Linked DNA regions of Drosophila melanogaster. The protein of the gene in region 2 interacts with the protein of the main gene of each other region in a pairwise test. Each region holds a gene or a part of one and is shown on either strand. Other genes may lie near its edges.

What was found.
Region 1: the proteins of Vkor (region 2) and CG16852 interact in a two-hybrid assay, tested with the Drosophila melanogaster proteins (one large-scale study listed by BioGRID).
Region 3: the proteins of Vkor (region 2) and Vti1a interact in a two-hybrid assay, tested with the Drosophila melanogaster proteins (one large-scale study listed by BioGRID).

What each region holds. Positions count from the first base shown.
Region 1 is NT_033779.5:13,539,178-13,542,151, forward strand, and holds CG16852 (uncharacterized protein), read left to right. Parts: upstream 1-1,573; 5' UTR 1,574-1,622; coding exon 1,623-1,887; intron 1,888-1,948; coding exon 1,949-2,397; 3' UTR 2,398-2,469; downstream 2,470-2,974. Other genes in the region: CG9263 (uncharacterized protein), read right to left, coding at 2,498-2,814.
Region 2 is NT_033778.4:16,776,736-16,779,495, reverse strand, and holds Vkor (Vitamin-K epoxide reductase), read right to left. Parts: upstream 1,132-2,760; coding exon 962-1,131; intron 907-961; coding exon 812-906; intron 757-811; coding exon 563-756; 3' UTR 502-562; downstream 1-501.
Region 3 is NT_037436.4:690,981-694,583, reverse strand, and holds Vti1a (vesicle transport through interaction with t-SNAREs 1a), read left to right. Parts: upstream 1-1,664; 5' UTR 1,665-1,805; coding exon 1,806-1,899; intron 1,900-1,963; coding exon 1,964-2,562; 3' UTR 2,563-3,098; downstream 3,099-3,603. Other genes in the region: CG13894 (uncharacterized protein), read left to right, coding at 1-1,301; RabX6, read right to left, coding at 3,174-3,603.

The DNA of each region.
Region 1 (2,974 bases), on a different chromosome or scaffold from region 2:
TGCATTCACGAAATTGGCTTTGTTTAAATCCATTATATGAGACGGACAGCACGATCGATTTGCGTGCCCCTCGGTGCCGCCTCAAAGTAGGCAACACAAATAAAGCTTAACATCATGCCGCCGAAGGGGCGAATTGGGAGCTGCGAGCTGGCGGATAAAGGATGGTGGCCACTCAATCCCAGTTGTTCTGCTTCAACACTTTCGCACAAACACCAATCAACTGGCAGATGAATCAAGCGCAGGCGTTGGCTGCCCAGTTAAGCCCACTCCGTAGCACCCACAGTCCACACAGCCCACGTAAACACCATGCCCCCCATCTTCCCGCGCCCTGAATTCAATTTTTTGGACAGGCGACAAAACTGCGCCACAAAGGGGGAAAAGCGGAAGCAGCGGCAAAGCAGGGAGATGCAGTCCATGGCAACAGCATCATCCAAAGGCAAACACACTGGCCGGCACATGCGAGTGGAAAATCAATAACGTGTACGTTTATCTTATTTTCTCGTCGCAGCGTCTGCTGTCGTTTCATTCCCCTTCTTTCAAATATATATAAATATAAATCTTCGGCGCACTTAAGCCTTTTAAATGATAACAATGGCCGGACCAAAAGAACCATTCCTTCCACCTCTGTTCCCTCAACAAGCCAACGAATAAAAAACACGACCACTGAGTAGCAGGTGCGCACTGGACACCAAAGGACTTACTCTACTATAGGACAGCAACGAGAAAAGTTCCACATCCAAGCCCCTTGGATTTTGATTTCCACACTGCAAATGTGCGTACTTGCTTGCCACATGCCACATGTATGTACGTAGCACCCGGACAAGTCGAGATATTCCATGAATTTATTATGTCCCCTCTGCTTTAATAGAGTTTCATCGAAAAGTTTCCCTCGAACAAATTATGAAATATACGGAGACAGCTTTTTGCCATTGAACGGAAATTGTGGTTTAAATCTGGGGGATGAATTTTGATCTAAAGCGAATGTGCACAAAAAAATATATCAGATAATAAAATGGCAGTTTATGTGTGGCCTGAAGCAAAAGTTTTTATCTTATTTTATTTATTGTGTTGGTATATTAAAGTAGTTGTTTGATCTTAAATTTCGGGGTAAATGTTTTTGACCTTGCAACTTCCAATAATTATTAAAATAATTACATATTTAGACGGTTCTTTTTTTGAAAGTCTTTTGAAAGTAAATTCACCAGGCAAGTGAAATCTCAGTTAAGGAGCTACCCTATATTTTGCTTTGGTTCCTAAAATGCACTTATGCAAAATAACATTAGTGCAGTAGACCGTCATAATTGTCATATTAGACAGGAAAATCCATAGACGACAGTCGACCCTGAAGTGTCGATGGACAGCAGCTTCTGGTTTTGCCCGGCCAGACAGGAAAGGAAATTGCTTAATTTAGCGCAAAAATTATCCACTGGCCAACGAGGCTCAATTGCCGGTCTGCCATGGTCGTTTGAGGCAGATGATAAAGCAACCCTTTGCTACGAATTTTTAGCCAGACTGATTTTAAATGACAGAAATGGTAGAAAATAAATTTAACTCACACTCATGATTTTCACACGAAAAACATATTGAATCACAAAGGCAAGGAGCGACTAGAAGAACTCTACATGCTTAGTTCAAAAAGTGACACTTCTGGAGACGATATCTCTATAACTGCACAAGCAGAAAAAAGAGTGGATGATAGCATCAGAGCGCCATCTATTGGCTGGAATGCTGAGCACAAAGATGTTCAGATTCCAAGGGACCAACTAACCCACAGGCAGATCAGCAAGTGCAATTTGTTTGAGGAATACATCAAGCTCCCAAAGAGTGAATATGGACAAACAAGCCGCATGAAGCGATTCCGATCCGAAGAGTTAGCTATTAAGCAAGGTAAGATAAATGTATAATTCCGTTCTTATTGAAGGGCTAACAGCCTTTGATATCTTAACAGAAGATCAAATCGTGGAGCATAGATCATCGAGTCTTTCGCGGCTATCGGATGTCACAATCAAGCCCACCTGCGAGGTGAGTAGTCAGACTTCGTGGACAGCAGCGGACGAGAGTAATATGAATAGCAAGGATTTGGAGGCGAAGCTGGCGGCTGTACGCGGCGGTGGTATCGATCTCGAAACGGACAAGCCCAGCAAGATCCAGCAGCACACGATCCACATCGAGGTGGAGTCGGTGACATCGGCCACGGCTATGCAAAGACCCCCACTGCACCAAAGGATGTGGCAGGTCCTTGTGCAGACGGCGGATACGATTGTCGCATTCGCCTCTATAATCGGCGAGAATTTAACAGTGGCACTCTTCATTGTCCTGTGCCTGTGGTGCCTTTACCTCTTACTAAGCCACTTTTATGGCAACTTGCAGACCAATGTCGGCATGCCGTCCAAATAATTGTAATAAGAATGATTCGTTTTGCACGTGATTGTATGAGTAAAAATGCAGTAAACAGAATTAGCAGAACAGAGTTCCAACCAGCATTGCGCATTCTAATTTATCTCAACATATTGGGTGTGCAACAACACATGATGGCGAGACTACAATATAGTGCCGAAGCGAAATCGGTTAGCATATAGCAAAAACGATCGGCCAGCGGTGGTCGACCTAGTGCATTTGGAATCTGCATGGAAACGGCATCGATGAATATCGTGTGACGTGTCGATTCGCAGGGTGCCAAAGCCGGGGCAAAGTCCACAGGACAAACTCTAATGCGCCGGCGCGGCTGTTCCGTCTGCACGCCGATCGAGTGGATGTCCTTGAGCACATCGCTATCCTTCTTCCTGAAGATCTCAACATCGTCTTCCGAATTTTCTGCGGGTTGATACAGTTATAGTAACTATACTAAATAAATGCGGGTGACATCTGGTTTCACCAAAATGAAACTGTTTATGGATTTATGACAGTAGTGTTATTTTTCAGAGTTTTCAAGGACAACTCCAAGAGACAGTTCCTATCTTTTTTTTATAGATTG
Region 2 (2,760 bases):
AGATTCTATGAAGTTAAGATTCAGATAGCTAAATATCATCAGTATTATCTCAAACTATTTTCATCATAGATACTTAAATCTGCAAGGGTATGCGATACAGCATCCACACAGTATACATTTCCACACATCCATTGATTCAGTTATTCAGCCCAACCAAATCGGAACAGCAGCCCACACAAAGGGATTCCCGAACTTATGGGAAATTAATTGCGTCGAGTTTTCACAGTCCGCCCACCGTATTAACTTGGCTAGCTCGACTTAACTTTTGTTGGCAGTAGCGCCATTCGCGGATTATGGATCACAGATCACAGCCTTCGCCGGCAAATGGGAACGTGCAGAATTAATTGCCCCACTACGTGCTTGGTCATGGGAGTTGGAATGGTAGATGCGCCGGCTCAGCATCCTGCTTTTAGCCAAACGTGTGGGTCACAAAATGAACGACTGATGAAGATTGAGATATTCGCCATAAAACGTTGACAGTTTAAAATAACTCACTGAGCTACTAATCTTAGGGATTTATCTTCATAATTTTTGCTTAGCTTGTCTTAACATTGTACAAATCTTACATATAAAGGCGTCTATATCGCCTTAGGACTTCCTGAAAGAGCCATGTGTGTATGAAATAGATGGTCACGCATACCAAACAGAAATCGTAAAACACGAGAATCAGCAGGAAACCCAGATAAACGCAGAGAAGTAATGTCAAAGTGCATACTATCAATTGGACCAGGCACAGCCAACGATGATTAAAGAAAGCTGAAAACAAATGCTTATTAAATTTAGTTTAGTTTGTACTAAGAAATTTACGTACAGCTCAAGAAGTACAGGATATAAAATGCACAGCCGATGGCTCCGTTGGGAGCATTTACTTGGGTTATGTTACCCAGACCAAAGCCATCACCATAGCTGATGGAAAATTATTTCATTAAATTTATATTGTATATATTATAATCTTACCTACCCCGATTTAAAAACCAGCGAGCAGCTTATATTATCGTTAACGTCGCACATTGGCCTATAGTTCTCATCCTCCTTTAGTTTCATTTTCACATACAGTGAATACACCGAAATGGCCAATCCACAAACGCAAATCCCACGCAGTCGGGAAGCTGTACTGTACGCCTGTTCCATTGTGTTGCTCCTTGGGTAATGAGCTCATTGCAGCAGGATATTCCAGCTCAGATTTAGTTAGCCAAGGAATAACACTGTTCGCAGCTGCGCAATAAGGTTGGCAACAGGATACACTTACTGTGGGTATCTTAGTTTTATAATATACCTTATACAGAATACAAATCTATACTTGCTTTATAAATAATGTATTTTTCAATGGGTCCCTGAAAAATGCGACTGAGGTTCTGTTAGGGTTTTTGTTAGGGTATTTAAAGTCTAGACTTGCTCTAATAAATCCGCCTTGTTTTCTCAGTTGGGCTCGCATAAATTCTCGCTCCAATTTAATTTGATGTGACAGGTGGGCAAAGGCAACAGGTAATATTTATAAGCAAACAGAACAACTCGGGGTTGGTGACCAAATCGAGCTATATAAGTGGGTTTTACCGGAGAAGGTGAAACTCCTTAGTCTGGGAACTATCACCTCTAAACCGACAAACGTGCACATGCATCTGCCGCAAACAACATCGCATTAGGCCACGCTCCATTGCATGCATATGAAACTAGCGACTGCGACAACATCATCCAAGTCGAAGACGACCAAGAGACATCTCTGCCCGGCCAAATCAGACTAGACGAGTGCTCATGTAGAGCCGCTAGTCGCGGCATGACACAATGTTGAATACAACTCACAACAGCGGCCCCATCTTTGGGGCCCACCCACTCGCTCGTTCCGTGTCCCTTTTTAATTTATAGCCTCACGAATTTGAATTATTCTATGTTCGGGTGTTTAATAAAAAATAAATACCCAAAAGTAGCTGGGCCCATCCAAAAGTGATATATAAATGCACGTTAGCCATGAGGTAACCGAATGGAAACAATTTACAAAATTGCAGTAGCTCAGCCCCCAGGAGTGAAGTGAAGTGATGAATTCACGCAACCTTGGCTTCGCTACTTTGCCATATAAAAAAAATGAAAACAGTCACCGCAGCCAGCGACTTGGCACAGATATCCATTTGATATGGAAAACCCTTTCAAGCGGCTGTCAATTCGATTCTGGCTCAAAACCCGGGCTCAGCTGCTCGATTGCGTTATAATGTGCTACTGGAAATGGGCCAATACAAACGAAACCACAATATCTATATATAACTACTCTTAATCTTTATTATCGTAGCGACCTTCAAACAAAAACAGTGCAGAATAAGAATAATTTGAGGTAGATAATCATTTATGCACAAGATGGGCAAACACAAACAATGCAGTTGTAAAGAGTTCTGATTTTGTTTTCAACTTCCTGATGAAAAAATCTCGAATGAGTTTAGAATGGTAATCCAAACTTTTAACTAGGGCTACACATGGCTAATGCCATGTTGCAGGTGCATCTCCTCAAGCACGCGTTGTGTTATTTGTCTCCAACGAGGTTTGCCATTGATACGTGATCGAAATCTGGTGAAGTGCCTTTAACAAAAGGCGCCTTGGATGCCCAAAAGCAACTGACTGCGAAATGATGAGTCTAGACAATTATGAATACGATTATTAAGGTGAATGCATCGAAACTTGGCTTTTGTAGTTGGCAGTGCTGGTGGTGCACGTGCAACTGGAAGGAAGCTAAGGTTGCTGCGTTCAGATGTGGAAATCTCACACACATTTGTA
Region 3 (3,603 bases), on a different chromosome or scaffold from region 2:
TGGTGGAGGAGATCGAGAGGAGCCGAAAGTGCGCCTACATCAATGCAGTGGTATACGAATGGCTAGTAAGGGCCAATATCAATCCCCAGCTGCGAGGTAGCATTACCCACGGAATGATCAAGGACAAGGCGGAGAATGCCAGACAAGTCATAGGGAGCACATCCTTTATAGCAGACAATCGCTGGTTAAACCGTTTCCGAGAGACTCATCTTCAAGGCTTTGCCCAAAAACTAGCCAGCAACCAGTTGAAGCCACTAGGATCCTCCCTGTGGATCCCGGACATCGTACAGGACCTAGCCCATCTCTTTCCGCCCGCGAGCGCTGAAAGAGTGGCCAAACTGGAGGAGATGCCCGAGCAGTACATGACCTACATGCAACAGTACGGAGAATACGAAGAAGATGATGACAGTATGGATGTAAAGGAGCAGAGCTATCAAGAGCAACAGCAGCAGCAACAGCAGCACTTTGCCCTCCAGCAGCAACATATGCAACAGCAGCAGCATCAAATGGGCCACCCATGGCCACCGTTTCCAGGACATCCCGGACATCCTACTCCACACCCCGGGTTCGCCAGCTTCAACGACTTTTATTTCGAGCGGCATCAACAGCAAATGCAACAGCAACTCCAGCAGCAGCAGCAGATGCAACAGTTTCCACCCACTATGCCACCTCAAAGGGAACCCTTTCAGCCCCAATTGCCGCCAAATGTTCCACCGCAGCGGGCCAGTCCCTTCCAGCCCGTTCAGTTGGCCAAGAGACCCAAAATGGAGTCACCCGATGATGACGAAGTGCAAGAGATTAACTCAGCGGTGAACTCACCACCATATCCGCTAGCAGAATCAACCTTAACCAGCAAGCACAGTCGAAGTTCCAGTCCCAACGAGCAGAACAACAATAATAGCGGGGGAAGAGACAGTGCCAGCAGCAAGGAGAACGCCCCCAAGGGAGGCGGAACAAGTGGCAAATCCACGCCTGCCCTTTCTTCCAAGGGAAAGGACTCACCTGCACCAGCTCGAGCTGCGTCCACCAAACCCGCCTCTGCTCCCGCCTCGCCAAAAAAGATCCCCAATGGATCCAGCTCCTCCGGCAGCCAAACCAATGGACACACATCCCCAGACCCCGAGGATAAGAAGGCTTTATGCATGCTGAAGGAGTTGGAAAGCTACCACCAGGCCTTGGAGTACCTAAAACCGCTGGAGGACTTCGTGCTCTTCAAGGAGAACTTTCGGGCTATTGGCTTGCTGTCCCAATTGGAACTGGTGCTCCGAAAAGGGGACAAGGCCACACTGGTCGAGGGTTAAGAGTTTTCTAATCGCGGACCAGGACAGCACAAAACATAAATGTGATGAACAGTGTACATATGTATCATGTAGTATTATTAAATCGTACTACCGCCAAAACAGTTGCTTAGGTTAACAAAGAATCTCCACTCGCATAAAGCTGAACCTAATTAATTAATTTATTAATTACTCTAAGTACAATAAAATGGAATTTATAAAATAATAGATATGTTTGTGTTTTATTTACGTATTTAAAACGGAAGTTGGTTTTATCTGAGTTCTTACGAGAATATTGTAGTCCTTGAAGTTGGCAGTGTTTTTTACATGAGTATGGCAACGCTGACTCGAAATCAGAGTGACCACGACTTAAAAGTATTTATAGATTGCTGTATTACTGTTCACCTCATGACTCGGCCACACTTGGACAATGTTTACTTCTTTTCTTCGATAAATCTGTAATTTTCGCGAACTAAAACAGAACAAATACCATAAACAACTGAATAAGGTAGAATAAAAACCGCACAAATGTCGCTTCTGGAGCAATACGAACAGCAATACGCCACGTTAATAGCAGAAATAACGGCCCATATTGGACGGCTGCAGCAGCAAAACAACAACAGTGAGTGGGATGATTGTCCATGGATTGTACATTATGGTGATTACCATTTGTCCATTTACTCCAGGCGAGCGCCATGATTTGTGCAGCAAGATCGACTCCAGTTTGCCCGAGGCTCAGGAATTGCTGGAGCAGATGGGTCTGGAGGTGAGGGAGCTAAATCCTGGACTGCGGAGCAGCTTCAACGGAAAGCTGCAGGTGGCCCAGGCAGAACTGAAACGGCTGCAGGCGGAGTACAGGTTGACCAAGGACAAACAGCGCTCCCAAGCCAACACATTCACCACTCTGGACTTGGGTGACAGCTATGAGGATGTGTCCATAAGTACAGATCAACGCCAACGCCTCTTGGACAACTCGGAAAGGATTGAACGGACGGGCAACAGGTTAACCGAAGGGTACAGAGTGGCCTTGGAGACGGAGCAACTGGGCGCCCAGGTCCTAAATGATCTGCACCACCAAAGGGAAACTCTACAGGGAGCCAGGGCTCGACTTCGAGAAACCAATGCCGAGCTGGGAAGAGCTTCTCGCACTCTGAATACCATGATGTTAAGAGCCCTGCGGGAGAAGGTGGTCTTGTATGGAGTGGGTGTCTGCTTTGTGGTGGCCGTGGGCGTCAGTCTCTATCTGACCTTCGCACCCAGTTCAAGCAGCACCGCCTCGTCGTAGTAATTTTAGCTAGCAAACCAATAGCCAATGATCTTAGCCCAAATTCAAATGTTATAGAAGCCTGTCCATTCCAATTTCGTGAGTTGATTATTTATTGTTTAGTATATTTTATTTTTACGAGATATTCTGTGGAAGAAAGCTGCAGATTACGCACTAATCTATATAAGATAGGATGGAGTATTACGTGCAATAAGAGTCGAAGCTTAGAGTAGTTATCTGCGGTCAATCGATGTCTATATATTTTGTTGTCCTTTTACCTTTAAGATTAAATTGACCTTCTTGTTAATCGATGGAATTCCTATTACTTTTTAATTCTTACCGCAGATTTCTAACCTATCACTCGCGTATCCGCCATCCTAGCTTACGTGTACAAAGTTTAAGTGGTTAATGTTTGGCGCCTGGTTAATAGAAACTAATCCTACTCTATGACTCGTGTTCGCGTTCGGGACGTATTTTTCGTAAAAATTCGAATTGAACATGTACGTATCTAAAAATCATAACATAGCCGAAAGCTATCAATAAATAAAGGAAACAGTAAAAATGCATCTCTGCGTGAGCATTGAGCCTGGCGGGAATAAGGGTTCCTAGCCGAACTCAATGTTCCCCAACTGCTAGCAGCCGCAGGAGGAGGCGTCCTCCTCGTTGGTCGCCGCGCCGCTGCTCGCAGTGTCCACCTGGAAGCTCTTGTGCTCCAGTGCCTGCAGTTCCATTTTGGAGCGATTGGCGTGGACCAGTTGCCTAGAGATGTCACGGAACATCTCCTCCACACCGGCGCCGCTGCGACAGGAGGTCTTGTACGTGGCACTGATCAGTGAGTGGCACTGCTCGCAGAAGGCCTCCACTTCCTCATCGCTGACCTCCGGCTCCCTGCCATCCAGATCGCTCTTATTGCCACAGATGAAGATCTTGGCATTCTCTGCATAGGTCACAATGTCCAGCAAGTGCTGCGACAGCGAGTGGAACGAAGCGGCGTTGTCCAAAGCAAAGACCAGGATGGCTCCCTCGGCGAACTTGTAGTACGAGGATGTGACCGAGGCCACA